Canis lupus familiaris: one gene and its partners. The protein of the gene in region 3 interacts with the protein of the main gene of each other region in a pairwise test. Links are inferred from orthologs where the notes say so. Each region holds a gene or a part of one and is shown on either strand. Other genes may lie near its edges. The genes, in order: SYNJ2BP, FAM107A, USHBP1, DYDC1, TRIM54, KLHL38 and C15H1orf216.

What was found.
Region 1: the proteins of USHBP1 (region 3) and SYNJ2BP interact in binary tests that used the Homo sapiens proteins (3 or more experiments, as listed by UniProt). The two-hybrid records come from large-scale screens. The link is inferred for Canis lupus familiaris from reciprocal best matches to the Homo sapiens genes USHBP1 and SYNJ2BP.
Region 2: the proteins of USHBP1 (region 3) and FAM107A interact in binary tests that used the Homo sapiens proteins (3 or more experiments, as listed by UniProt). The two-hybrid records come from large-scale screens. The link is inferred for Canis lupus familiaris from reciprocal best matches to the Homo sapiens genes USHBP1 and FAM107A.
Region 4: the proteins of USHBP1 (region 3) and DYDC1 interact in binary tests that used the Homo sapiens proteins (3 or more experiments, as listed by UniProt). The two-hybrid records come from large-scale screens. The link is inferred for Canis lupus familiaris from reciprocal best matches to the Homo sapiens genes USHBP1 and DYDC1.
Region 5: the proteins of USHBP1 (region 3) and TRIM54 interact in binary tests that used the Homo sapiens proteins (3 or more experiments, as listed by UniProt). The two-hybrid records come from large-scale screens. The link is inferred for Canis lupus familiaris from reciprocal best matches to the Homo sapiens genes USHBP1 and TRIM54.
Region 6: the proteins of USHBP1 (region 3) and KLHL38 interact in binary tests that used the Homo sapiens proteins (3 or more experiments, as listed by UniProt). The two-hybrid records come from large-scale screens. The link is inferred for Canis lupus familiaris from reciprocal best matches to the Homo sapiens genes USHBP1 and KLHL38.
Region 7: the proteins of USHBP1 (region 3) and C15H1orf216 interact in binary tests that used the Homo sapiens proteins (3 or more experiments, as listed by UniProt). The two-hybrid records come from large-scale screens. The link is inferred for Canis lupus familiaris from reciprocal best matches to the Homo sapiens genes USHBP1 and C1orf216.

The regions. Positions count from the first base shown.
Region 1 is NC_049229.1:44,326,587-44,330,600, reverse strand, and holds part of SYNJ2BP (synaptojanin-2-binding protein), read left to right. Parts: intron 1-624; coding exon 625-761; intron 762-4,014. UniProt on the Homo sapiens protein: Regulates endocytosis of activin type 2 receptor kinases through the Ral/RALBP1-dependent pathway and may be involved in suppression of activin-induced signal transduction.
Region 2 is NC_049241.1:32,298,106-32,302,610, reverse strand, and holds the start of FAM107A (actin-associated protein FAM107A), read right to left. Parts: upstream 2,928-4,505; 5' UTR 2,591-2,927; coding exon 2,567-2,590; intron 1-2,566. UniProt on the Homo sapiens protein: Stress-inducible actin-binding protein that plays a role in synaptic and cognitive functions by modulating actin filamentous (F-actin) dynamics. Mediates polymerization of globular actin to F-actin. Also binds to, stabilizes and bundles F-actin.
Region 3 is NC_049241.1:45,884,201-45,888,351, reverse strand, and holds the start of USHBP1 (Usher syndrome type-1C protein-binding protein 1), read right to left. Parts: upstream 2,801-4,151; 5' UTR 2,664-2,800; intron 2,383-2,663; exon of another isoform or gene 2,325-2,382; 5' UTR 2,251-2,324; coding exon 2,197-2,250; intron 2,100-2,196; coding exon 1,951-2,099; intron 1,738-1,950; coding exon 1,299-1,737; intron 1-1,298.
Region 4 is NC_049225.1:30,231,386-30,235,856, reverse strand, and holds the start of DYDC1 (DPY30 domain-containing protein 1), read left to right. Parts: upstream 1-1,549; 5' UTR 1,550-1,565; exon of another isoform or gene 1,566-1,721; intron 1,722-1,746; exon of another isoform or gene 1,747-1,898; intron 1,899-3,868; exon of another isoform or gene 3,869-4,009; intron 4,010-4,471. UniProt on the Homo sapiens protein: Functions as part of axonemal radial spoke complexes that play an important part in the motility of sperm and cilia. Plays a crucial role during acrosome biogenesis.
Region 5 is NC_049238.1:21,322,048-21,326,487, reverse strand, and holds the start of TRIM54 (tripartite motif-containing protein 54), read right to left. Parts: upstream 3,130-4,440; 5' UTR 2,766-3,129; coding exon 2,598-2,765; intron 1-2,597. UniProt on the Homo sapiens protein: May bind and stabilize microtubules during myotubes formation.
Region 6 is NC_049234.1:22,342,355-22,345,972, forward strand, and holds the end of KLHL38 (kelch-like protein 38), read right to left. Parts: intron 2,826-3,618; coding exon 2,720-2,825; intron 1,812-2,719; coding exon 1,522-1,811; 3' UTR 743-1,521; downstream 1-742.
Region 7 is NC_049236.1:6,517,825-6,521,174, reverse strand, and holds the end of C15H1orf216 (UPF0500 protein C1orf216 homolog), read right to left. Parts: intron 3,211-3,350; 5' UTR 3,206-3,210; coding exon 2,519-3,205; 3' UTR 863-2,518; downstream 1-862.

The DNA of each region.
Region 1 (4,014 bases), on a different chromosome or scaffold from region 3:
TAGTCCTATCATGAAGCCTCAGTTGCCTTTCTAGTTCCCAGGATTCCTGCCAACACCTACACTCAAAATAGAAAAATAAATTAAACTCCTAAGACCATTTTTTTCCAAAACACCTCCATATGCAAACTGTCCTGAATGTTGGGAGAAGGGAACTATGAAGGGGAAACTTTGATTAGGAAACTCTCTTCCACTAAATTAAAGATAGTTCATTTGCTTCTTATGAACTCACCCTGTTACATTAATAGCAGGAAAGTCAAGAATTGGGTCCTTTAAATGCCACCAGCAGAATCAGAATTGAATATGAACAGAAGTACATCTTACAAGAATCACTGTTATTCTTTTACTGAGTTTAGAATATAGATCTTTCTTTTTATACTAAACAGACTATGTTGATCTCTGTGTTTGTATTTTTAATCTTGCCTGGCCTAAGTGGGCAACTCTGGGTACTCTTGACCTCTGTTGATGATCCTCTTCACTAACCTTGCCTGTGTCTATTGACCAGTTACATCACAGTTTGACTCACCAGCCTCCCCTCCTCACTAGGCCTCTCCTCTTTCTCTTTCTTCTCTAATCCCTTTCTACTTCATCACTATCTCCTTCACAACTCCTCCATGATTTTCTCAGGGCTGGGCTTCAACATCGTCGGTGGGACAGATCAGCAGTATGTCTCCAACGACAGTGGCATCTACGTCAGCCGCATCAAAGAGAATGGGGCTGCGGCCCTGGATGGGCGGCTCCAGGAGGGTGATAAGATCCTCTCGGTGAGAACTGGCTTCGGCCTCCTTCACTGTTTCTTGCTCCCTAGACCCCAGTTCTTACCCTTAGCCCTTTCCTTGGGAAGATTTCTGCCTGCCTTTTTGGATCTGGAAATATCTGGATTGTAGAATATGGTGGGAGGGACCTTGATCAGTCACCTTTTCCTGCCCAAACATAGAGCAAAGAGGATAATTCCTTACTTGATAGACAAGGCATCTTCAGTCCAGAATGTGAAGCTACTTTAACCAAGTTCAAAAAACAGGGAATAGGAAAGGTTGAGGGGCTGATGTAGGGGAAAGAGACTTAAAACCCACAATTGTCCTTTTTCAGTTATACTTTATCACCTCCCTTTCATTGAAAGATTAATGTGTGTCTTCCTTTACTCCAAAGAAACAAAAAAGGAAGGTAGAAATTAAGCTTCCTTTTTAGACTCAAATCCCTTCTCACCCGTCATGAAGATGAAAAATTTGAATGCATTCTCATTTGGGTATCTGTCCATTGTGCTCCCATTTCATTCAGCTAATGTTTGTAATAAGACACTTACTATATGGTGAGCTTTGATTTGATTCTTTTCTAAAAGTTTCTCAAGGGCAGGGACTAGATCTTTTTTTTAACCTTTTACATCCTTGCAATGCTCAATATATATTTAACAAATGAACAAGTTAAGAAATTCAGGCAAGCCCAGAAAGATTGGCTGATCCAGAATATAAATATAGTATTTTGGATAGTAATAGCCTATTTTTGTCCTTCTCACCAGCTATTTTGCCTCTTTTCAGACCATTAACCTTCTCCTAGATCCTGTTTATTAATTTGAAAGATACAAACAGTGATAAATACCTTTTATCTCAAAATGATACTGTGAGGTTTACAAGTAGATTATTTCATATTAGCTCCCTGGAGAAAGACCTCCTAAAAACATGAAATCAACTTGAGTGGAACATTAAGGAAAATTTAAGAGTGGGTTGTTAATGGTATAGCATGTAGGCAGAAATTATGCAGTTCATAGTGACATATAACACATTCTCTCCAGAATACTGGGGCCTGGGTTACATTTGAAAAGTATAGGGGTTCAGAGGACAGCCATATTATTCAAAAAGGTTTGGTAAAGGGTAGATTATATGAGAATGGTTAGAAGTTTTTGAGCACCATATGCTAAGCAATATGCTGAGAACTTTACGTTTGTTTAATATTGTGGTAACCCTATGAGGTGAGTACAATTATTATAACTACTTTGCTGCTAAGGAAGCTGAGTCTTGGTGAGGTCAAACAGCTTGCCCAAGGTCACACAACTGGTAGGTGGCAGAGGACTAAAACTGATCTGTCTGAATTTGGAGCCCCTACTCTTAATCAGTATGCTGTACTGCCTCCTAAGAAGTAAATGAGGAGCTAGGACTAGGTATCTAAACAGAAGGTTGTATGGTTAATTAATAGATATTTTGTATGGTTTTATATAAAAACAAATCAGTCTTTAAGGGTATAATTGGAGGGAAAAGGTCATTTAGCTCAGTATGAGAGAATTTATTAAACATAAGCTAAGATGAGCAGCCTTTCTTATGTGGACCATTGCCTCATAGAGAAAAGAAATTATTGGAAGGCACTCAAGTTTTTTTTTTTTTTTTTTAGAGAGTATGGTAGGAGATGGATGTCCATGGAGCAAAAAGTAAATGTCAAAAAAACTGCTCTCTTCACCTTGAAATTTACACCAAACAGGATTTTACTTTATTAAAGTAAAACAAATATGAGAAATATTACAAAGACCTATACAATATATTAAATATTACAAATATATATAGGACATATAACAAGGAATGATTCAAGTTTATGTTTTGGACAATTAAGATATGGGAAAGAAGAGAGGGAGGAAATGCCTGACAAAAGTTGTAAAACAGATAGGAAGAGAAAGAAAGAAGACTGAAGAGAAAAAGATGGAGCATATACAAGAGGAGAAGGCCAGCATATTCTCTTCTTTCTTTCTTTCTAGGGCTATCTTATTTATGACTCCAGTCTCCCTATCAAGAGTTTGCTCCAACATAATTCTTTCTAGATCCTTTTCCTAAGAAATACTGCCTCTCTCACCTTCTCACTGTCTTTTCCACTCTCTCCTTAAGTGAACTCATTGGGCATTAACCATTAAATGGTTATGTCTCCTTTGTAACTCACTCTCCCTCTGATTTAACTAAGTGCTCTAATACTGGCTGTGGAGTCTCTGTAAAATGATGGTGCTGAACTGTTTATTAGCTTATATTCTCCTTGATTCTTTATGGGTTTTTCTGTTCTCTTCACATAGGCTATTTTTCCATGTTGTAAAATATGCCCCAGCTCTTTCTTTTAACTTTTGCTAGATAATCAAACTAAGAATATGTTACTTCCTTGGCACATCCATTTTGGATAACTAATACAAATCTTATTTAGTGATCTAGATTTCCTAGAGTTAGTATTGACTAATAAATTAATCTTTCCATTTCTCTTGAAATAATGCCCGTGTTTTGTCTTAATTTCAAGTAAAACTAAATAATTGCATGACTTATGCAATTCCCTCTTGCTCATTAAAAGTTAAATTACATTTTTTTGTGACCTCTGTGGAATGTTTAAACTTAAAAAAATGGGAGGGGGAGGAAGAAAAGAAATTCCTTTAACATAAATTATTTTTAAGGCCCTATTGCATCTGACAACCATAAAACAAAAACAGGTATTACTAATAGAAGGACCTGAAGTTGAGATGAGGGCTGGAGATGGAGATTCCTCACCCAGAGTTTATTTTGTATGTGATGGTTAGGGCAATTTAATATTTGTATAGGTTACAAGGGAAAGATTTTATTTTTGAGGGGAAAAAAATGTAAACTGCTTAGGTTTGTCATTTCCGTTGTGTGCCTGCCTAAATGATGGGAGGTGGATAGTTAAGAACAGTCCATGCTCAGTGAATGCTGCATTTTTATGAAGTTCAGGGTGATATGAGCTAATTATTACACTGAATAGATGAATATTCCCTTTTGACCAAACCCTTTATATAACAAAATGGCACAGATCAGGCCACTAGTCAGCCACATTTCATGTTTTCATCAAGTGTAATTCTTAACTTGGTGAATGAAAGAGCTGAGTAGTCCTCAGCATTTATAGCTGTTATACTTGACAGCCTGCAGAGCACCATGCCAGGTGCTCTGGAATGATTTGAAAAATGAAACACTCACCTTCACACATAGCTTAGAAATCAGTGGGAAAGACCCACCAGAACCCCTCATCTGCTTGGCTGCAAAGACA
Region 2 (4,505 bases), about 14 Mb from region 3:
ACGGTGCAGGGGAAGGAGACCGACTGCCTTCCCGTGTGCTTCCAGAGTTTGGCCTGGAGCTGCTGGGCCTTGTGGAAATGGTCTGACCCTGGCTGCGTGGCCCTGGCAAGTCTTTCCGCCCTTGGGCCTCGGTCTTCCCAGCTGTACAATGGGGAAGGGATTGGACCACTTTGCCAGGGGTTTTCCAGAACTGATTTTATAGCTATGGTTAAGCCATGAGTGTGGGAAGGGGGTCCGAGAAGCCCCCCAGGACAGCTCCGTGACCTTTATAGCACAGGCCAGTGGGTGCTAGACCTCAAACGGCCCAGGCGTGTCACAGACATCCTGCAGAGGCCAGCTGGGTTACTGCCTCCAGAAACAGAGCAGGAGGCATGTGTGGGGGAGGGCTGGGGGGTGGTCCACAGACGGGGGAGCCCCACAGCAGGCCTGGCCTGGGCCGGCTCATAGCCTCTGCTCCAGGCTGGCTCAGCCACTGGCTGGCTGTGGGAAGTCACATTGGCTCATGACTCAGCTTCTTCATCTGCCATGGGTGTGATGTTAATGCCCCTGGTGGATCAAAGGGAGGGTGTGAAGAGCTGACAAGGACGCAGGTAGGAGAGGATCAAACCCAGAGGGAGACGAACGTTGACTAAGGATCTACTTCATCCCCAGGCATGGTGTCATTTAGATTTTACAACAGTGTGAGAAGGATTATTATCTTTAGTCTATGGGGTTGGAACCTGAGGTCCTGTCTTGTCCACGGTCCCCGGGTATTTGGAAGAACTGACTCAGGTGTGTCTGACCTCAGAGCCCGTGTTCCCATTCACCCTCTGCGGCCTCTCCCTGGGGGGCAGCCTCTCCCTGGGGGCAGGAGGAGGGCCTGGGCCCAGCACATGCCTGCTTTTCAGTCTGGGGGCTAGTTCTGATCGGGATGCTGTGCTGAGGAAGATTCTGAGGTCATCTGGACTTCGTGGGAAAGGGTGTAGGGACCGATTCGTGAAGTTTGTCACCGGTGAGAGGAGAGAGAGAGGCAGTCTGTGAGCTGTAATTGCTGTTCCTAGGCTAGACCTTGTCGGGGTCTTTTCCAGGCCTGGGAAGAAGCCGTTCTCCAAGGTGACTGCACCTGCACAGGTAGGATCTAGAGGCTGAGCTCATTCTCCCTTGGGAGAGGGGAGAAGCTGGAAGAATGTTCCTGAAGGGGGCTGGGTGGGGCCAGGGTGCAAAGCTCTGCTGGGAAGGCAGCTCTGGGCTGTATCAGAGAAGACACAAGAACAGCAGGTGACCCACAACAGCAACTGGGGGCTCCCATGAGCATGGCGGGATGGAGAAGGGACAGCCCCAGGACAACAACCTTCTAGGATACTGCTGCTGGGGGTGCTGAGGGGAGGCAGGAGTTTCCAGGCCTGACTTGCACCCGAAACAAAGGAGGTTGGGAGCAGAGGCTGGTGCAAGGCGGCCCCAGGGGTTATCTAACCCAATGCTCATTTTCCAGATGAGGAAACTGAGGCCCAGAAAGCTTGTTCCATGGGGACTGCCAATGATGTGTTTTACTTTAAATTTGAAAAATGTGGGTTGGGCTCGGTTGGCAGAAAATTTAGAGTCATGCAGAACCATAGTTGTTTGAGGGTTAGAGCCCCCGTTTATTAGGGTTGTCTGGGTGACAGGCTGCATGCTACATACTTTATAGCATCCTCTCGTGGCCCCTCCCAAGGGGTGAGGACCAGCCCTACTTTACAGGTGAGGAGCTGAGATCCAGAGATCCAGGGGGGTTCAGTTCCTTATAAGGCAGGTGGAGGAGCTAGGGCCCAGGCAGCCTGACCTTACCGCTGGGGTCACAGTCCTGGTGATGTGGACTGAGTGCGTGTATAAGAATCCCTGGGGAGCCCTGCCTCCCCTTCCCCTGATCCAGGAAGTGTGGGTGAGCCCTAAGAAGGAGACTGTGGAGCAAGCCCCCTCCCATGCCCCATCTCTAATGCAGACACAGGGTCTCTATAGACCACATTTTCAGAAACACTGCATAGGCTCTGTCTACAAATCTCCAACTGAGAGCCCAGACATAGAAGGTGATGCATAAAAATGTGAAGAGAACTCTAATAACAGAACATAGCTTATATATAGCTCACTATGTGCCAGGCACTGTTTGAAACACTTTACATATATTTTTGTTCAGTTAATTCTCACTATAAGCCTCTGAGGTAGTGACTATTGTCCCCATTTTACAGATGGGGAAATGACTTACAGGAAGCGTCAGTAACTTGCCCACCGGTGCTCCCTGGCACACGGGGAAGGTGCGGCCACGGAGCCTGTATGCAGGGAAGTAGAGAGGTGTGTGTCTAAGACCAGAGAGCCTGTGAGGTTGGGCAGTCCAGGTCTGTTCCAGGGGTGGAGAGATCCGAAGGCTTTGTCCTAAGCCCCAGCTAGGTTTCTAGATGCAAATCTTGGCTGTGAGCTCAGGGAGGGAGGCTGGTGGGCAGTGCCTGGCTCAGGCCCATGGAGCTGGCAGGTAGGTAGATGGGGGCTCCCACCCGGTAGGTGCAGTCTCCCTCCCCATGTTCAGGGACCCAGCAGGACCCTCGGGGGCTCTTACCTTCTTCCCATGGACTGCTCCCATGGCACAAAGCGGGCACCAGGCCTGGGTGGGCCTTGGGGGGCCCGGCTGGGGTCCTCCCTGCCGATGCTGATCTCAGGAGCTGGGGCCCAAGGGGTTCCCTGGGCCAGGGTCCCCCGTCCTCTCGTGGCTCATTCTTCTCAGGCACAAAGGAGGCTTTCACAGCTGCTCCTAAGCCCAGAGCTCCTCAGACAGGCTTAGGGTGATTGATCCTGTCAGAGGGGTATGGTGTCCCCAGAGGGCCCACACGTCCTGTGGTCCCTGTAGCTCCTCACTTCCTGCACCCCTGCCTCTCTCAGGAGGGGAGACTGAGGCATCCGTGGGGAGGTGAGAAGCAAAGCCGTCCTCTCACCATGCGGCCGGCAGCTTGAGTACAGCGGGTGACCTCTGGCTGGCCCAGCAGGCAGGACTTGGCCTTCTTGCCAGGCTGGGCACCGATCAGCAGACAGGCCCCAGACAGTGGAGGCTGTGTGGACTAGCTGGGGTATGGGGCTCAGGGCAGGCTTGGCTTGTGTGGGGATGTAAACCTCGGGCTGGGCAGCAGCCCCATTAATAGTAGATCTTTGAAGACACTTGGGGGCAAGGGCTCTCGTGGAGCGGAGACACTGAGAGCAGAGTACTTCATTCAACAGGACAGTAGCCCAGCTGGGGAGGGCTGGTCTGGGCTTAGGCCAGGAGACTATCTGGAGGCTGGATTCCGGGCCCTGGGCCAAGTTCTCAAAGTTCCCCCAGCAGTTACCCTCCTCCTTACTTGCTACCCTCCTTCATTATTATCAACAGCATGGAGCGAGGAGGTTAAGGCCCGAACCAGCCTGGGCTTGAAACCCAACTCTTTCCTCACTGTTGTATGACCCAGGGGGTGGGGGTGGGGGTGGGGGGCATGATTTGACCTCTGGGAGCCTCCGTTTCTTCGTGTGTGTGCTCCTATAATCACACAGCACAGGGTTGCTCTGATGGCTGAAAGAAGTCGGTGTGCACAGCCAGAGCCATTGTTCTCTTAAAGCATAAATCAGATGATGTTATTCTCTGTTTTACACTCTCCCCCTTGACGGAAGAGGGGTAACGATGGCCCCTGACCCCATGGGGCCCTGAGGATGAAATGAGGTGACTTGTGTAAAGCTCTGGGCAGAGGATTTGGAGAATAGGAATTTTCCAGAGAAGTTAGGTGCTGCTTGTTATAATGCTGTTAATGCCACTCGTGATAAAACCACTGCCCATTGGCAAGTCCCAGGTAACCAGTTTGATTAAGCAGAACAGCCTTTCTTAAGAGATGGCTGGGCCAGGGAAAACTTGCAGCCCTGTCTTTCCTCTGTCTAGCACAATGCCTGGCTCCGGGGTGGTGAGGACTTATTGTACAAAGGATTATGAAATGGCAGTTGGTAGTGAAGGGTCAGGATCAAGTATTCTAGATCCACCTTTGCCCATAGAATCAAATTCCCCATGGTCCAACACAGTTCTGTTCCATGAAGTCTTGCTGGCCTCTCAGACCTCATTTCCCATTCCCCTCTCTGCCTGACAATTCCTGGATCATACCACCCTCCTCCTCACCCCAGCACCTTTGCACATGCTGTTCTCTCTGCTGGGAAGGTTTTCCATCTCTCTCCCTTGACTACATTTTTAAATCTCGTGCAATTCTTTCCTTTTTATCCATTAGGCTCAAGGATCACCTCCTCAAAGAAGCCTGCCCTGACCCTCTATGCAAAGTAGCCTCCGAGGCTCTCTGTTCATTTTTTTCTTCATAACATTTATCAGCAACTGGAATGATTTTATTTCTGCGTTTATGGTTCAGCTCCTGCACCTGAATGGCAGCTCCACAAGGGCTGGGACCCAGTCTGTCTCATTCATCAGTTTACCCTCTGGTTCTAAAATAGAGCTTGGCACACTGCAGTCACTCAACAAATATTGGTGGAGTGGGTAA
Region 3 (4,151 bases):
ACTTATATTTGGGATCTAAGATAAAACAAAACGAAAAATTGAACTCACAGTTATAGAGAACAGAGTGGTGGGTGCCAGAGGCAGTGGGGGTGAGGAGAGGAATGTGGGTGGGGGTGAGGAGAGGAATGTGGAGCGGGGATCATCTTTCCCAGCCAGGAAGTGGGCCCCACCCCTTAGGCTGGGCTCTGGTGGCCCCATATCTTGCCACCTTGGCCTGCCCAAGATGAGGGCCTGTTCCCCCATCTCCTTCAGCCACATGGCTTTAGATTCCATCCACATGTTAAAGAGGTCGGGATGTGTTTCTCTTGTCCTGACATCTCCCCTGAGCTCTGGATTCTGACCCCACAACTGTGTCTTTGATGGTCCTACATGGGTGGCTCAGGGGTTTCTTGAACTCATTAGGGTCCCAACAGCTCCTGGTCCTGCATTTCTGGCTCCCAGTCCCGCAGGCCCCCAAACCAGGACTTGTCCTCAACCCTTCTCTGGCTTTCACACCCAAACCTGCCAGCTCCACCTTCGACACCACCCAGAATCTGCCCACTTTGTGCCACCTCCACAGTTTCCACCATCTGGTGTCTGGACCAGTGCCTCGCGGATCCGCCGGCTGTTCCTCCCATGCCTACCAGAGGGCGCCTGTGACCGCGGCACCAGGTCCCGCCCCTTTCTGCCGCGGGAGGGCGAGGGTGGGGGGGCGAGGGGGAACCCCCCAGGAGCCCACCAGGCTCAGGGCCAAAGCCCAACTCCCAGAAGCCCACAGACCGTGTAAATCTGCCCCCATCACTAACCTGCCCTCCCCTCACCCCCACACTGGCTTGCTCACTGTTCCCTGACTCACACTCCCACCTCTGGAAGGGAGCTCCTTCTCCGCCTGGCATGCTCTTTCCCCAGATCCTTGCATGGCTCCTCCCTTACCTCCTGGCTCAAGTGTCACCTCCTCAAGGGGCATCTCTGACCACCTTATCTAAGAAGGCAAGGCACCTTTGTTCAGGGCTCTGCAGCAGTCAACGCTCCATAAAAGTTTTTCTCTTTCTTTTTTTAGATTTTATTTATTTATTCAGAGGAGACACAGAGAGAGAGGCAGGCTCCCTGTGGGGAACCTGATGTGGGACTCGATCTCAGGACCCTGGGATCATGACCTGAGTCAAAGGCTCAACTCAAGTCAACCACTGAGCCACCCAGGCGTCCCTCCGTAAGAGTTTTTCTAATGAACAAACAATGGAAGGTTGCCTATGCCAGGCCCGCCTCCCCCTTAGACAGAGAACCCTCAGAGGTAGAGCACAATACGTCGAGACCCTCACCTCTCTCTGCAGCATCTCCTTCTCCCCCTGGATGGCCTGCAGGGAGGCCTGCGTGCGAATCAGCTCCTCCTCTCGGCTGCCCAAGGCCAATCGTAGCCAGTCATTCCTCTCTGCCAGGCTGGCTGCCTCCCTCTGGCAACCACTTGCCCCCTCCTGCTCCAAGCAGGGCCTTGGTCCCACCTCACTTCTGTCCTCTGCCTCCCCGGGCCCAGGACAGCTGGGGGGCCGGCGGCGCCAGGCAGCCGCCGCCGCCTCCAGGGAGCTCAGAGCATGCTGGAGAACCTGAAACACGTCAGAGGCTTCAGGCCTGGGGGGGACAGTCTCCCCATCCTGTGGAGCTACATCTCTGGCCTGGTGGCCTTCCTCTGCAGGCTTGCGGGGTCCCTCGGGAGATGGGGCCAGTCCTCTGCTAGAGTCCCCCTCAGCCTCTTTGTTGGTCCTGTGGTGAAGTGAGAGACAGAAGGTTCTGGAAATGGGGTCATCTGGGGTGGCTGGCTCACAGAGGGTGCATTATCCGGGGCCTTGAAAGTTGGGCAAGGAGGGCAGTGGGAAGCTACGGCGTGTGTGTGAGCAAGGGAGGAACACAGGTAGATCTGTGGGGAGGAAAGACACACCAGGGCCGGAGTGGGAGCCCAGACGGAGGGGACCTTACCTGTTCCCAAGGCCCTGCCCACTGGCCTCTGCCTCTGGCCCCTGCAGCCTCGGCTCGCAGCTCTCCTGAGATGGCACAGGGCCCAGCTCAGAGCTCCCGCTGGCTGCCTCAGCCTCCTCTGAACTCTCCGCCACGGGATCCAGCTCCCCCTGAAAATGACCCACAGGGCCAAGCTCCGAGCCAGGCCGGGGGCGAGGGGGTGAGTGACCCCAAAGAGCTGGATGCGGCAGGGAAGGGGGCACTTACAGGTGGCGCGTGCCTCCCTCGCCGGCTTCGGGGTCGCGTGGCCCGGGCACTCATTGCTGTCCAGAATTCAGTCCTCTGATTCTTTTTCCGAAAGCCGCAGCCTGATCTCGGCTCTTGTCTTTGTTGGTCTGGGCGAATGACAGCCTTAATACCTTCTTCTATGAAATGAGCATCGATCTCCTCCCGCTGGGAGGGATCTTGAATTACCAGTGTTGAGCTGGCACATTTGAATACCCCTCCTGACAGGCAGCTCACTACCTCACAAGTTTGTTCCCACCTCCCCTTGTCTTTTGCCTCCTTTATCTTTCACTACCTCTGTGCTCCCCTCGGTCCCCAATCTGGACCTGGCTCGAGGACTTCAAGAATCACCTCTCCTCCCCAGGGTCCTCTTGAGTCGGAGGCCCCAATCTTGGGGTTGGGTCCCCTCAGCCTGCTCTAATGCTACTCCTCTGTACCTCTAGGAATACCTTGGTCAGCAGCCCAAATCCCTGGACACTCTTGGGGTAGCTCTGGCCACTGCTTGCTTAGGCCCCGGGCTGGCCAAGGCTGGCTTGGGAGAGGCCGGGAAACAGGAAGCCCCCTCCCCTGGTCATGTGACTTGTTATTGTGCTATTTCCTCCTCAAGGACATCAGCTTCCTCCAGTCCCGGTGGGACACACATGTCCAGCTCCTGACCTGTCGGTCCTTCCTTGCCCCAGCCTCCAATCTCATGTCTCTTCCGCCTCTGAGCCTCAGTTTCCTTATCTGTAAAATGGGGGGGGGGGGCTTTAATTATAGGATCTGTCTACAGTGTCATGGGAATTTTAACAAGCAACTTGCACATGACTGAGCACCATCCAAGAACTGAATTGTAACACACCACTCTTGTTCGCTGCCTCTCCGGCCCTCCCATCTCTGCTTCCTCTGCCAGCTGCTGCTTCTCCTGGATTCCTCAGGGCACAGATCGCCCCTACATCCTGCCCATTTTTCCTGCATCCATCTCTAAAGGGCCTCGTCATCTCCCTCCATAACAGCCCAACCCTCTCCCCTCTACCGGGATGCCAGCCCCTCTCTCTCCGTGGACTCTACAGCCACCCACCCCTTGACTCCCTTCCCCTCCCAGGCCCCAGAGACAGAGACCTCATTGTTCACCTCTTCTGCTCACACACCCTCCATGACTCCCCATTGCCCTTGGGAAACATTTCAAGCTCTTCTACCCGGCATTCGAGGCCCTTAAAAATAATGCCTGCTGTCTGCACCCATGTATACTCCATGCTTTAGCCATGATGACCCCTCTGTGAACAGGTGAAGGTTCACAATTCTCACATCCCAGGGCCTTTGGTTATGCTGTAACCCTTTCCTTGTTTCTGCACTTGGCTTATTTTTTATTTATTATTTTTTAAAGATTTTATTTATTCATGAGAGACACAGAGAGAGGCAGAGACATAGGCAGAGGGAGAAGCAGGCTCCCTGCCGGGAGCCCGAAGCAGGACTCAATCCCAGGATCCCTCGGGATCAGGACCTGAGCTGAAGGCAGCCGCTCAACCACTGAACCTCCCAGGTGCCCCTACACTTGGTTTAAACTGCGCAGAGCCTGGAGTAGCCTGAATCTTCCTCATTCCGCTGACAGACAGAGGAGGCTGAGTCTTCCTGCTTCTGCGTCCCCAAAACTGGTAAGGAAATAAGTTGCAATTCTCTGACTTGGGGGCACCCAGGCACATTGAAATCTACACTCTTAGCCTCTGCTCCAGCCATTTTTTTAAAAAAAGATTTTATTTATTTATTCATGAGAGACACAGAGGCAGAAACAAGGCGGAGGGAGAAGTAGGCTCCCCGCGGAGAGCCTGATGTGAAACTTGATCCCAGCATCCTGGGACCACCACCTGAGCTGAAGGCAGATGCTCAACCACTGAGCCACCCAGGCGCCCCTGCTCCAGCCATATTAACCTCTTAAAGGTTCCATCGCTCCAAGGCTC
Region 4 (4,471 bases), on a different chromosome or scaffold from region 3:
GTGAACCTGTGGCCCACCTGAACCAGTGCACTGGTATGAACAATCTTCTGCACCCCTTTCACTCAAAGTGTGGTCCCTGATGAGCAGCATCGCATTACCTTGTGGAAATGCACATTCTCAGGTCCCACCCCATACCTCCACAGTCAGAGTCTGCATTTTAACAAAATCCCCACGTGATTCAGTTAAAGATCTACTTTGCCTTTATGGCAGGAGAACCGCCCTTCCCAGGGAGCGGAATCCCCACTCTGCCACAAGCCTCTCCACTTTCCAGCCCCTGAGCGCCTGCTCTCCTGTGTAGGCCGCAAATCCTTTCTGGAGGAAGCATCTGCTCTAAATTGCACGTTTTCAACCATGGTCTCCATGAATTTTGGAGCCTGACGGTTTACTAAAACTTGATGCAAAGACAAGAGAGCCAGAATGACAGAGCCACAGCTCAGGGCCAGGAGAGGGAGGGGCCAAAGAGGTGCCTTTTGCAGCCCTCTCTCCACAAACTGAAGGGCACATTTAGCAGAGGAGAGGGGCCTAGTTTTCCTAGAGCTCCTCTGGGAGTCCTTCACACGCCCTCCCTGTTCACCGCCTAGCAACCCAGGAGGCAGGCTGGGAAGCACAGAGGTGGCCTTGCCACACCACACTCCCAGGGCTAGGCGCACGGTGGGTGCTCGCAAGTATTTTTTGACTTAATCTCCGAAGGCTCTGGCTTGCTGGCCAGGGCAAGAGCCTCCGCTCCTTCCCAGCTGTCAGCGCCCACTCTGGTACTCCTGGCCTTAACCGCCGGGGCTGAGGCCGCTCCTGCCCAGCACCGCCCAACACAGATTAATCCAGAACCTGGGAAATGCTAGCAGAGGGTTGTCCACAAAACACTAGGTCAGGGAAGACCTGCTGCGGTGGAGGCGGGGCCTTCTGGAGGCAGAAGCACCTGTGCTGGTCCCAAGAGGGGCCAGGCGGGGTCACCAGCAACCGCAAAGGTGCGGAGCCGGCAGGGGGCCATGGGACTTTCCCAGCCTGGGTGGGCAGGCGCCCTCTGCGGCCTGTCCCACGACCCCGCCGCCCCGGCCCTCCCAGTGCACACGGGCCTGCCCGCCTCTGGCTCCGTCCTCCCAGCCTGCAGGTCTCAGGCTCGGCTCCATCCTCCCAGCCTGCAGGTCGCAAGCTCAGCTCCGTCCTCCCTCCCGCAGGTTGCAGGCTCCGTCCTCCCAGCCCGCAGGTCTCAGGCTCGGCTCCATCCTCCCAGTCTGCACGTCGCAAGCTCAGCTCCGTCCTCCCTGCCCACCGGCTCCGTTCTATCCTCCCAGCCCGCAGGTTCTAGGCCCTGCTCCATCCTCCCAGCCCGCAGGCCGCAGGCCCTGCTCCGTCCTCTCTCCCGCAGGTGGCAGGTTCGGTCCTCCCTGCCCGCAGGTCGCAGGCCCCGCTCCGTCCTCCCTCCCGCAGGTCGCAGGCCCCGCCACACCCGCGCCCGGTCCTCCCCGCCGCCCGCCCGCCCCCCGCGCCCCTACCGCGTGCAGGGAGCCACCTGGGTCCGGGGCGCGCGCTCGTTGCCTAGCGACGGGACGCGCCTCGCGGGGCCGGTAGGTGCGCGCGTCGGGTGTGCGCATGCCCAGCGCGGACGCCCAGCGCCCCGCCCCGCGGCGGGTGCTTGGGGGGGCCCGCGGCAGCCGCGGGTGCGGCCTCGGCCTGGTGAGCGGGGAGGGGCCCCGGCGGCGCCCGGGCTGCCCGGCTGAGAGGTTAGTGCCGCGCCCTGGCAGCGCCGCCGCCTCCGGGCCCGCCCCGCCCGGTCCTCCGGGGCCACGCAGGGCGGAGGGGGAGGGGACGCGGAAGGCCCGAGACCCCTCTGCAGACCCAGGATGGGGAAACCATGCAGGCTCCCCAGGTCGGAGGGTGCCAGGTAAAGCCCGGCACAGGTGAGCTCCAGGTAGACGACGAACCAGCTGGCTTATGCTGCCCTGTGCTAAGCGTTACTCCCTGTTTCTCCAAAATTCATATTGACCCGGGCATCCTATATATATATATAGGATATAATGTATATATATTAGATTTTATTTATTTATTCATGAGATTGACACAGGCAGAGACACAGGCCGAGGGAGAAGTAGGCTCCCCGAGGAACGTCTGATGCGGGACTCGATCCCGCGACCCCAGGGTCACGCCCTGAGCCGAAGGCGGGTGCTCCACCACTGAGCCACCCAGGGGTCCCATCCGTATTATTTTGTGCCGCATCGGGCAACTCCACCCGAACCCCCTCCCCTCCCGCCAGGCTGGGCGGCCCCCCCCCGCTTGGGCAAGGGACCTCTTTGTATCTCTTGTTCGGCCTCTCCAGGCTTGAGGGAGCCGTGTCTCTGCGAAAGGCCTTTCTTACCTGGAGCCGAGATGAGATGCCTGTTAGTGTGTCTGAAAAATAACAACCTGTGAGTTGGGTTTTATCACCATTTCGTGGACAGGAAACCAGGGAAGCCAAGTAAGGAGCTTCCTGGGCTCTGCTATCCCGTGCCCAGGAGGATTCGGGATCAGATTCTACTCCTAGCCCAGAAGTTTCTCCCTTGGGGACATGGTCCCTTTCCCGAGTATTATCCTTCTGGAACAGCAGCACGAATCTGTTCTTTCTTTTATGTTTCAAGTGACATTGAGATGTCACTGTCGTCATTTTTGTCTTTTTGAGTGTGTCGCGTCGAAGAAGCACAGTGAGGATGCTGCGTCTCACACTCGCTGATACTGTAATTCTTCTCTCCGTGTGGTGAAGACACCAACGCCAGCTTGAAAGGGAATTCGGTTCATTCGTGCCAGTTTGCAGAGCTTAAGTTTTTATGACCACGTTTATGGGCACACATACACACATTCCTTTCCCCACTGCTTTCAACAAAAGAGGTGGCTTACTCTATAAACAATTTCTGCACCTTTTTAATTCACTTTGCACCGTGTCCTAGAGATCACTCCCTATTTTAAAGATCTTCCTCGTGCCTTTTATATGATATATATGCACCGTCATCCATCGTGTTGCTGTGTCTCATCAGTCCCTTAATGATGAGCTTTTGGATGAGGCTCCAGTTTGACTGTTCTAAGTAATGGAGCAAAATAACCACATGCACATATCATCGCTCCATATTTTTGCAAGTTAAGATCCGACAAGTGAGATCAATGGTTTAAAGGGTAAATACTTACGTAATTTTCTAGATACTGCCAAATTCCTCTGCGCAGGGGTTATACCATTTTGTACCCTCACCATCGTCAAATGAGAGAGAGCACTTTGGGGATTGAAGGATGAACCTCAGGAGGTTGTTGTTTCTGAAATTTTATGCAGAACATTTGGTGCATTTGTCCAGGGACAGGCCTAGACATGCTGGCATTCTGTTCTCTCATGTTCAGCTCATACCTGACCAATGATGCGTATAGTATATATTTACTGAATGATGAAGACATTTCATTAGATTCTTAGAAGTGACTGGTTTCCATAAGGGTAATTTGAGAGTGATAGTTTTTTTTCAAAGCACCGGAAGTACAGTGTTTGCTATATTCTTTCCTCCCTGCCTCCTTCCTTCTTTCCTTCCTTCCCTCCCTCCTTCCTTCTTTTCCTTCCTTCCTTCCTTCCTTCCTTCCTTCCTTCCTTCCTTCCTTCCTTCCTTCCTTCTTTCCCTCTTTCCCTCCCTCCCTCTCCTTCCTTATTTCCCTCCTTCCCTCCCTCCTTCCCTCCCTTCCTCTCCTTCCTTCTTTCCTTCCTTCCCTCCCTCTCTCCTTCCTTCCTTCCTTCCTTCCTTCCTTCCTTCCTTCCTTCCTTCCTTCCTTCCTTCCTTCCTTCCTTCCTGTCTGGTCTAAGATTGTTCCTGTCCACCTTCATAACTGCATAGACTGGGACATTACTGGGAGGATGGAGGAAGTCATTCACGTGCCTCCACGGAGAGCCAGCACGCCTGCCCTGTGATTAAAACACACTCCTTGAGGAGCTGGAGGAGCTTGTCTTCTAGCAGGAGGACAGACATGTGTGTACACACACGATCTCGGCGTGCATGACAAGTGCTGTGTGAGTCGCTTGGAGAAGGTGGGGCTTCTTTGCGTTGCTTGGGAAAGTCCAGGGAATGAGAGAGGGCCAGCATCTTGCAGGCGAGGAGATGTTTCCTCAGCTGGGAGATAGAGAGAAAGCGTTATGGGCAGAAGTCTTGGAGATGGCGGTGTGCAAGGCGTGGCTGTCAGGATGGCAGACTGCTGAGGGTTGTCAGAGCCCAGGATATGCTGGCGGCAGGGGAGAGGTCTGGGGTGAGCCTGAGAAGAAATTGGGGCCAGGGGATCCCTGGGTGGCTCAGCGGTTTAGCACCTGCCTTTGGCCTAGGGTGTGATCCTGGAGTCCTGGGATCGAGTCCCACGTCGGGCTCCTGGCATGAGCCTGCCTCTCCCTCTGCCTGTGTCTCTGCCTCTCTCTCTCTGTGTGTCTATCATGAATAAATAAATAAAGTCTTAAAAGAAAAAAAAGAAATTGGGGCCAAAG
Region 5 (4,440 bases), on a different chromosome or scaffold from region 3:
CATTTATTTATTTATTTATAGAGCGAGAGTGGGGGAAGGGCAGGGAGAGGCAGAGGGAGAGGAAGAAAGAGAATTTCAAGCAGGACCCAGGCTCAACCTCACACAGGGTTTTGATCTCATGATCCTGAGATCATGACCTGAGCCACAATCAAGAGTCAGAAGCTTAACAGACTGAGCCACCCAGGCACACTTCTGCAGCCATTTTAAAATGAAAATGCGGATCTGAATGTGTGCAGATGGAACAACTACAGAAAGAGTAAGTGAACAAAAGCAGATTTAGGACAATGAGTGTAATTTAAACACACAAACATAGGTGGACCTATCCATGGAAAATCTCTGGGAGGGTACCCAAGAAAATTGGAAATGGCTACCTCTATTTGGAGAAGGGAAGTGAGAGCCTGAGGTAGTCATTTTTCATGCTATAAACTCCTATACTATTTTTTAAAGTGTGTGTGTGTGTGTGTGACACTGTAACTTTTATAAGTTCTATTAACTTTCTAGGCAATGTTCTCAGGGTATTCTTCCTAAGTGGTTTTAAGATAGAGTTACCAAAAGTCTTATTCTTGTTCCCATACTTAGAAAACAGACAATCTGATTATGCCTACAGTTGTCAAAATGTGGAGGCAATGTGTGAAAAAACTAAATATGCTCATCTTTCAGAGGGAGAACTACTGAGATGTATATACATAAGTGCAGCCAAAGAACTGGGTCAGCCTCCCACCAGGCTGCCCCAAATAAAGCAGAGCAAGGAAATGAGCTGTTCACTCTTCTCCTTGGTGGGGGATGCCCAGGGGTGCTCTGCACTTTAAAAGAGACATATCAGTCCAGATCCACAGAACCATCTCAAAGTTCTGGGAACCATGTTGTTTCCCAAACATTCTGCATAGGGTTCAGCCCAGTCTCAGTTCTCTCTGGGTCCAATCAGTATTTCAGAGCTTTAAGGCACCAAAATGGTGCACCTGGATATAGAGCACTGACTAGAACAAGGGAGGCCACTTAAACATTCTGTAGCCTCCATACAGAGAGCTTTTCCCTGGGACCCTCTGCCCGATGATACTATATGCTTCGTACTTTGATACTCTGGTGGCTTTTTTTTTTTTTAATAGGACAGATTACCTTCACTTTCAAAACTTCTCTTTGCTTTCATGTATTTCCAGATCTAATGGAAAGATGTTTCACTACAAATTCATGAAAAGTGATGGCAAAACCTTGTTGCCATTCCCTCCTAGGCATCTGACTGAAGGATGTTCAGAAATGTACTTAGCCTGAGGAAAACTAAAATAGTGGGCAAGGCGAAGCCTCTAGTACATGACTTGATGTCCAGGATAAGCAGACAGAGCAGTCAGCCCTTCCCAGAGAGGGAAAATCCTTGGCTCTGAGATATTCTGGAGCCAAACAATGTAACGGCAGGCTAAGACACAGAAGAATAGGAGATGGGAATGGGCTTCAACAGGAAGATGGCAGACTGCCAAGGATAGGTCACAGGGCACAGCTATGGGACAGCCTGACTTAGCCAGCCCATTATTTTTTCCCAAACATGCTGCCCCAAAGAACAAAAAAAAAAAAAAAAAAAAAAAAAAAAAAGAAGCATTTTCTTGGTTAACTTTAAAATCATTTGCGTTCAACACATTTCTCCCTGAATTCTGATACAGGTGAAGAATATGTGTTAGTGATGTTCCTTAACACTGCCCTGCCTACTAAGCTAGCTAGCTCTGGTTTATTCAGATATTTTACTTCATTTGCAAGGGGTGTGTGTGTGTGTGTGTGTATGTGTATGCAACTTTTCCCCTTACTTTCTCTGATCTTTCTTCCAGTGGCAGAGGTCAAAATAGAAAATCCATTTATAAACCATTCTGGTATATGCTGCATTTCTTTTTGAAACCAGTAGCTAAAATGACATCTGTGAATTTGATTAGCTATGCTTTGCCCCATGACCGCACATAAACCAAAGCTGGTTGCATTTCTCTACATTCTCTCTACTTAAGTGACCACAATGCTTTTTAACCAGCAGGCCCCTTTATTGACCAATCTGGAGTGGGGCACAAGTGTGAACTTTAGTTGGGGAGAATTCCCAATCTCCTACCCACTCCCACTCTGCCCCAAAAGATGGATGTGTTAAGCTTGGCCTCAAATACAAATACTTTCATCATGGACTGTGCTCATAGGGCTTATTTTTTAATGTTTCATTATCTCATTGATATTTTCTCCAAATCTTCCATATCATTCTCAAAATCTGAAACTCTAGACTGGAATAGAGAGTCCAGTACAGATTGTTAAGCAGCTTAGGGTAGGACCACCTCCCTCCCAGTTTCTAGTTTCTATGGGGGTCTTCTCTCTTCTGCAGATACCAGCTTTCCAGCTGCTGTCCAGGCATGCATAGGCTGTCCTTGCCAGCCTGCAGAGCAGTTGCTGACTCATGCTTACTTTGGGATCTACTAGGACCCCGAATCTTCTGCTCTTCCGCCAGGACAGACACCACCCACTTCATAGAGTACTCTGCCCCATCACCTTCTGGTCTCAGCTCTGACCTGATGAGAAGTCTCCCACAAATCTACACTGCTTTACCTGGCCCTGCCCTCCCCCGATCCCTGGCCCACCTGGAAGACATCGTTGGCACACTTTCGGCACAGGTTGTGCTGGCAGGGCAGGATCACCACCGGTTTGGAGAACATCTCCAGGCAGATGGGGCAAATGAGCTGCTTCTCCAGGTTGTCCATGCTATGTGCATCCCCTAGCAGCGGCTTGAAACCCACTGTGAAGTTCATCCCCTCAGCGATTATGCCTGCCCTGGCCTTGGCCCTAGTCCTGGCCTTCCCTCACTGCCCCTGGACCCTTCCTCGTTTACTTTAGACAGCCCGTAGATTCTTATGGTCCCTTCTACTGCTCACTCTTGAAATAGGTCTGCTATCTCTCCTGTCCCTTCCTCCAACAATTCACCTCGTCTTCAGATAGCTGTTTTCAGATACTTCTCTTTATTCCTTGCTCTGTACCCCAGCCAGGCACATGTAGCTTTATCTGTCCCTCCCTTCCTGAATGATTCTGTCCCTGAAAATTTCTCCTTTTGTTTCCCAAATGATTCTTGTTCACTCTATGGGCAGTACTGTTTGTCCCTCACTTCCCAGAGAGGAGATTAATTTTAACATGGGGGTGGGGAACAAGGGGCATCTGCATGACATTCCAACTCCCAATTTAGCTCATGTAAGGCGAGCCACAGCTGTCACCAAGTGAGTGACCCTGACTCACTCAGGAATGGGTGACTCTCATAAGAGCAGGAGTGAGCTCCACTCTTATGGTGAAAGGTGGGTCTGCAAAGATGTCAAGCTCTCACGCTCAGTAGGCTCTGGTGAGCCCCTGACCCCCATGCTCTGGTGTGGGCTCTTCTTCTAGGGCAACAATGCAGAATCTAAAATGGCCTGGATGAGAACCATACATGGCTCAGGGTGGAAGGAGAGATCTCAAAACCTAGTCAGGACCTCCAAGGCTCAACCTGTGATCCTCACCCTGTTCCGCTGAACCCTGTGATTCAAAACAGGGGCATCAGACACTAGAGGGAAAGACTCTGGTCCAAAACTTCCGGTCCATTCTTGTTCTTGCCTAGAACTTTCTTGTATCACCCTAGGAAAAGAAGCTAAGGGCGCTAGAGCTGGCAGCTGCCCCAGGGCCTGGAACGACCTCATGAGCATGCCTCTGAGAAAGTGTGGGAATCTGGTCCATGAACACATCACTGGAGCAACTCCAAGGACTTTAAATTTGTTGGGAAATCAAGAGAAGTTGAGCTGAGCAGAAAGGACCCGAGTGCCAGGAACCTATTTTGGGCACCAGGGGAATTGGTCTCCAGGGAAATTTTAGAGCACTGACAAAGTCATAATCACAAGGCTCCAGGAAGCCTCTGCCCCAACTCTATAGTTGTTCTGGACTCCTCCTTTCCAAAGCAGGCTGGTCTCAGATAGGGGCACCCACCCTCTGTCTTTTTCTCCCATGGGCCTTTTGCTCTATCCCAGGCATGATTCGTCTTTTTGAGGTCCAACAAATGCATTGGGTTGGACAAAAAAGATCGTTTATTTACTGACATTTCTTAGTCCCTCTCCCAGTCAGGAGAGAGAAGTTTGAGGAGTTACTCAGTTCTGACCTTGGGTGGATGGGAAATAAATGGTGTGGAGAGGTTACCAAACAGGCAATATGAAGAGGCACGAGTGGGGAAAGGGTCTGTAAAAGTAGTATCTTTTCCCTATAAAATGTTTCATGCCCATTTTAAGAACAACATATATGGTGATAAGCCTGCATAAGATGTGGTAAAAAGGATGGAGGCAAGCAACCACTGATGTATGAACTTTGGTCAGCCCACAGGACCCATGGTGAGGAGTGTTGTGCTGTGGTGGAGTCCAGACAGAATCCAAAGGTGAGATAACTACCTCTACACCTCAAATGCATTCATAATTT
Region 6 (3,618 bases), on a different chromosome or scaffold from region 3:
GGCCAGCCAACCGCTAAGGTGACGGCATCCAGGATGAGGAGACGGGGCTGAGCAGGGGGTCTGGACCATAGCCAAGTGGTCTGGGGAGTGGGGCAAAGTTTCAGACCCCAGGAGGAGGAACTAAAGTGCAAAAAAAACAATTTAGGAAGAAAGGAAAAATCCAGAAGGTGAACCTGGAGATCAGGGCAGGGAGGAAGGCTCCAGCTTGAGGAGCACTCTGGTTCTAGGTTCACGGCAGTGAGACCCATTCCAGATGCTTCCATTGCTGGGGAGAAGACTTTGCCTGTGCTGCTGTGCTGTGACAGGCTGTGACACAGGGCTGGCTGGAACACGTTGGGAAGGGGGTCAACACACGAAGGTTTCATATGGTTGAGCCGGGAAATGGTTCTTAATCTTGACTGTATGTTACAATGGCCTGGGCCCACCTCTGAGAATCCCTGTCTGTCCATCTGGAAGGGGGCTTGGCCCCATTTTCAAACACCTTCTCAGGTGATGGTGATGTGTCACCATCTTTGGTTTATTCTGAACTTGGGTCAGGAGCCAGCTTGGGAGGCACTTTGAGACCAAGGGGGCCATGGGGATCGATATTCAGCCCTGGTTTGGAGAGGGCAATAATTGCTGGAATCCCTGGAGGAATTTGTTGGCTTTCCTCAGAAGAGCGATTCTCATAACATTTACCAAAATGAAAATCCTGATTAATTCTGCAGGTTTATAGCTCCCCAGAGGCTGGAGAAAAACATCATTTGGCACCAGAAACAAACTTTATTCTGGCCACATAGATAATTTTGCAAACGCTAGATACTGCATTGCACACTTTTTCCCGAAATTCCAATTTACTGCATCCATAGAATGCAAAGAAACACAGTCATGGCCAATTTTCCACATTGCCACCTGGACCATGTGCTTCCAGGGACCCTTTTGTTCTGGATTTCCATGATGACCTGGGCAGATGTGGTTTGGGTCAGGCCAGCAGTTCTTCCTTTGGGAAGCTGCATCTATCTCCTCTGTGCTGTTTGGATGAGCTGTCAATGGTGACAGTCAACCTCTGCCTGTAGGGATGTGATCCGGGATTACACAGTTATAGCAGCACAAGCCCTGGAAACAATGATTGGCTCAAGAGGAAGGCAGGGAATTAAGAAATGGCCAGTTGGGATTATTTTCAGGGTTAATACATGGAAAACGGTAAAGTTCTTGCCTTGTGAAAAGGCAACGTTAGAAAATGTGAGTCTAGGATTAGCAGTTGCCATTGTCTTCATACTTTGTGGATACAGCAGCTTGCTTGTAGCATGACGTCTGACAGAGATGAGGTAGAGAAGGAGGGAAAGTGGGGAGAGAGGGGGAGAGAAGGTGGGGGTGTGAAGAGTTCTGCCAACAATATGCCTGCTTTCAGGCTTCTGGGCTCTGGGATTTCCAGTCCTGTGGGCACTCCCTGCATCCTTGTGGGGTTGAGCTCCTTGGAGTTGGGCTTCCATCTCTTGCAACAGAAAGGATCTTGACAAAGACCCTTGGTTTCTGGAAGCTTCATGGGGAGGTGTGGATATGGGGTATGCACTGCAGAGTGAGGCAGGCGTGGTCAAAGAGTTTGTGAGGCAACTGTCCCTGGGACGTCCAGGTGTCTGTCTCGGGGTCATAGCAGTCAAAGGAGGCCAAGTCCTCGATGTTGCAGTCTGTGGTCAGCCGCCGGCCCCCGGTCACATACAGCTTGTTCTCCATCACCGTGGCCCCGTGATGCATCCTCCGGTCCTTCATGTCCGCGCACTTGACAAATTTGTTAGACTGAGGGTCATAAGCAAGAATCCTCCTTGTGTAACCTGAAAACCAATGGCATATCGGCAAGCTCAGCATTGTTCACTTGGGACTGGAAATCTGTGGTCTGCAAACATGTCTGATCTCTGCCATTTCCCAATACCAAGGCTGGACTCTGAGGGTCATAACTCTGAACTAAGGTGTAGAATGTTCTGGAACCTGCCCAAGATCTAGCAGGTGGCAAAGCTGGGGTTTAGACTCAGATCTGTCAGCTTCTGGTCCCTGAATGCTTCATCTCAAGTTAAGGCAGCATTAGTTTGGGAGGAGCTTCCTGATTCCAGCAGCTTCCTCTGTCTCATTGGCTTTTTCAACTCTCTCACATGCTCCCTCCCCACCCCCCCCGCCCCAGACTTAAAAATCCATAGAAGGAGCCTTGGGAATTCAGGAATGGCTCCCACAATAGCCCTATCTGGCCCACACTTTTAGGATCCCCATTTTCCAGATGTGCAAACGGAGGCACAGGAAAAGATGAATAACTTGCCCGAGAGTATATAGCCAGGGAAAGAATCAGGATTTGAACCTGACCCTACAACCAGTTCTCTTAGCCGAGACACTATACTGTAATCGCAGAGAAATGATCTATTAGTGGCTAATATTATTAGCAGTAGCAAACATTTTTTGAGTATTTGCCATGTATCTGGGATAGTGCTAAGTGCTTCAGATATATGAGCACATTTTATTATCACAACAATTCCGTGAAATCGGTATTATTTCATTCTTTGTTTACAGATAAAGACAGGGAGAAACTTCTGGATGAGAAAAGAACTTTGTCAAGTCATCCACACTCCCCTAGTTGGATGGTTGTGCTTTTAAAAACACTGTTTCGTAGAACAACATCTGTCTACTGGTGACCCTTTTTCCATGGGAGATGCCAAGTTTGTGTCCAGCCTAGAGATCCTCTGTTCAAACTCACCTCCTACGATAACAATCCTCTCCCCGAGCACCACTGCGGGGGCACACACATTCTTGATCATTCTCGTCTCCATTTTGAACCATGTGTTTCTGGAAATGTGATAAACCTGAGGGAGAAATATAATCATGGCGCTACATTGTAAAGTGATATGTATTTTTAAAAAGATGAAGTACTATTAAAGAGAGTGAAATAAGACTGACTCTTTTTCTTTTGACTTTTTAAAATGTAGGTAGGTAAATTATTATCAATAAAATAAAATAAAATAGCAGAAAGTACATATCACTAAAAATTGGTCTTTATGTGACCCCATGAGATCCTTGGCTATGTCTCTATAGAATGGACCGAGAGTTATGCATTGTAATATGTGTTTACTTACCTTGCTTGGAACATTTTTTTTTCTTTCGGGAAATGGAGCAGCTCGGGTATTCATAAAACCAATGATTTTTCAATCATTTCTATTTCCAGCTCATGTTTAAATTTCTAAATGTTCCAGTGTATCAGGGAGGGCCTTAGAGCCAAGAATACATTTGGGGCTAAGTGAGGAAGGCTTTTGAATAGTTCATGCCTGAAAGTCATTAGAATCATAGAGGAAGCATGAGAAAAGAGAGAAAGAGCAAAGAGGTGGGGCAGGGCTCCTTGGCCACGTTCTGAAATAGAGTCACAAATCATGATTCCCAGAACATGTTCCCTTCAGTGTAAATAAAGTTTAAATATCAAATGTAAATTAGTTCACTACTAGCAAAATTTACTACAAGAGATTCAGGATGGATTTCATAAAAGAAGGAGCAAAACATTTATTTACCGAAGTAAGTGACAATTCTTTCTATATTAAATATAATTGCTACCATAGGAAAGGCTCTTATTTTTTATCATTTTGCCAGATTTATCTTCACAACCAT
Region 7 (3,350 bases), on a different chromosome or scaffold from region 3:
ATGGCGACATTGAGAGGTCATCCCTTCCATGAGTAGGTTGCAGAAAATCCTGACCTCTGCTTGCTATTGCTCCATCACCTTCTTGGCTTGCATGCTTTGGTGGGCGAGCTGCTATGTTGGAAGAACCCATGTGGCAAGGAACTGAAAGTGACTTCCCTTGGAGAACTGAATGCTCCAACAAATAAGACCCCAGACCCTGGGCTGACTCTTTGGCTGCAGCCTTATGAGAGATTCCTACAGAAATTGTGAGATAACAAATGTGTATTATTTTACGTCCCTAAGTTGTGGGGTAATTTGTTATGCAGCAAGAGATACTTTATACAGATGAATTTTTGAGAAGCTAATTAATAAATCATCATACAAACCAATGTAAGACAGAAGGTCGGGTCTAGATTGGCACAGTGAGTCTCGGAAATCATATGCATGTACCTAACCCCATCTGTCAGAACCATCTGAGGAGCCTAACTCAGTCTTTTGCAGTCAGGGCACCCTTCAGGGAAGTGGTGGCTCTAGGGCAGGGTTGAGTAGGAGTGTGGTGGGGAGGGAGGGAGCATATGTATCCCTCACCATCGATGCCTACCGCCCCCTATCTTCAGGCCCAAAGGTGCCTTAGGACAAGGGTAATCCCATAAGGTGCTGTCAGGCTGAGGCCAAGTCTCCTCCGTCAGACTGAGAGGCCTCTGAGGAGAAACTCTTTGCCACCCCCATCAGCCACAGCAGGCTGGATTCCTCCTCCCCGGTGACTCCCCCCTCCATCGGTCTCCTCGCTCCCAGCCCAGAACCCTGCTTATAAGGGCAATTCAGATGGTGTCGAAAAGGGGCCACCAGGCACTGGGTGCAACAGAGACACAAACTCAAGAAATGCATTTCGCTGCCCCAGTTTATTCACCCTGGCTTGGCCCAGAGACCAGGTTCAACATGCAAGGGTGAGACACAGAAGTCCCCAGGACCATTGCTTCAGCCTCAGTCCCAATACCCTTCACCCCCCCCACACCTGTCAGGGATAGAACTCCTGAGAGGCAGGAAGAGTACCCGCATTTTGCAGACAGGGAGACTCAGCATCATGCCTCTGCTCATCTACCAGGATCCTGCTTCCTCATGGCTCCCAAAAGCAAAGCAGAGCCCCCGGCTGCTTTAGTCCTTGGTTGTCCCCAGAATTCACCCACTCTCCGTTTCATGGGAACCTGTCAACCCCCGCTGAAAGGGCCATGCAGTGACCGAAGGGTGATGACCCAGTATCCTGAGAGTTTCCAGGGGCTGCGCTGCTGGCCCCCCTGTGCGCCCTGGAAGGCTGACCACGGCTCCTCTGGGCCCAGGCAGCCCGACCGCAGGAAAACAGGCCAACCGAATCTGACTTCCCGCGACGCTAAAGCCGGAGGGGGACAGCAAGTAGAGGCACAGAGACGAAAGGGAGCTTTCCTTCCCCGGCAGTCTTGGAACACCTTGTCCGGCCCTCGCAGGCGCGTCAGCACATTCGCTCTTATCAGAAGCTTCAATCTATATGACCTGCAACAGCTCCTTGGACGTGGAGAACATGGAGAAGCTGGTTTGTCTCCAGGTGGTAGTTTAGAATCCGCATTCTCCTAGTCCTCACAGGGTCTGCGGCTGTCATCTCCCCTCCCCATCTCCCCCCCCCATCTCCCCCGTGCCCTGAGGCAGAGTCCAAGGGGGACAGTCCTTTATCTTCTCTGATCCCCATCCCCCCGTCCCTGCCCCAGTGGCCATCACCACCCCCAGCGCCCCTCCCTCATTCTAAGTCTCTACCAGTTGCCAAAACTGTGGCCAAAAAGCCGTGGCAGGCCGGAGCAGCCCCCACACCTCCCACAGCGACTCTACTATCGGGGGACAATGGCCCTAGTAGAGCAAAGTCAGAGGGAGAGAGCAGGGGGTGGCCTGGGAAACCTCAGGGGCCTGGGTCATCCACACCCGCACATATGACTGCAGGCGCCCCTCCTCTGGACCGATGGGACCCTGTGGAGAAAAGAAGGCTGGGGTTGGCGATGGGAAACACAGGGTGGGGAGGCCCCAGAGAAGCAACTGAGTACGGATCTGTAGATACTTGCTTAGGAGTTGGCCTGCAAACACACATGCTCCAACTACACACTTCCTGGGCCTGGCCCTGCACACGCAAAGGCACTTTCACATACACCCACCACAAGCCCACACACTCAAACTCACTCATCTGCACACACACCTTTTGCATATATATCCTCGCTCACGTACACATATGCACAAGCATACCTGTTCACGCCTACATATACACACTCACGCCTTCCTACACGTGTGCTGTAAACACATGTGTATGCATTCACAAGTAGGCCTGCACCTAAGCTGGCTTTGTGGACACACGGTACACAGGTGCTGATTCACACAGGCCTGGCTGCACGTTAGCACATACGTCCTCACTTTTGCTTACCTGCACTCACGCCAGCCAAGGATTATGTACTTACTTGTGCGCAACCCCACACATGCCTGCAAATATATCCATGTACCCCTGCCCCCCTGTGGAGGCACACCCTTAGCCCTGATCCTGGGGCCCGGATGGGGCCACCCTCTGTTGGAGGCAGCGGATGAGCTCCTTCCGGTTGTCTAGGATGGTGTCGAAGCTCTCCTGCAGACGGGTCTGCTGGTCAACCAGCTGGTGCTGCAGGCCGCGGATCCACTGCAGCAGGGCCAGGCGACGGTACATCACCAAGTGCACGTGGTGCTTCTCCTTCTCCTGCTCTTTGTAGCGCTCCTGAGCCTGCAGCTGCCGCACCGCCTGGGCCACGGAGGGCAGAAGGGGATCCTGAGGGCCCGGGCCCCGAGGGGTGCCGCAAGCGGGCTCAGGACTGCTGCCTCGGCTGCTGGTGCTCAGGGAGCTGCTGGCGTAGCCATTGTCCTCCAGGGGGGAGCAGACGGTGCTGGCCCCACTCATCTTCTCGAGCTTGGCCCTAGGGATCTCCTCCCCTTCTGGTGGGCTGCGCACCTCCCCCTCGGCAAGTCCAGGGGCCTGGAAGGCCTGGTTGTCAGAGGGCAGCTTGGAAGAGCTCCTCATCAGCACGGGCTCCCCTTGGCCTGGCATCCCATGCCAATTCTCATTGGCGTCTTTGGCACTCGCCAAGAAGTTCAAGTTGCTGTCTGGCTGGAGCTCAGGCTGACATCCTCCAGGCGGGGCCCCAAGGAACTGGGCCCCCTCGGCTACCCCTGGCCGGATGGCAAACATCTGGTCTGCAAAGGGGAAGCAGGAGAATGAGTTAGAGTAGGACTGGGTCGGGGGTGGGGAATGGGGTGCCCCAAGTCGTGGCAACCTCGCTGCCGGGGTGCGGGGGCAAGGCCGCGGGTGGGGGCCAGAGGCTCCACTTCAGTCC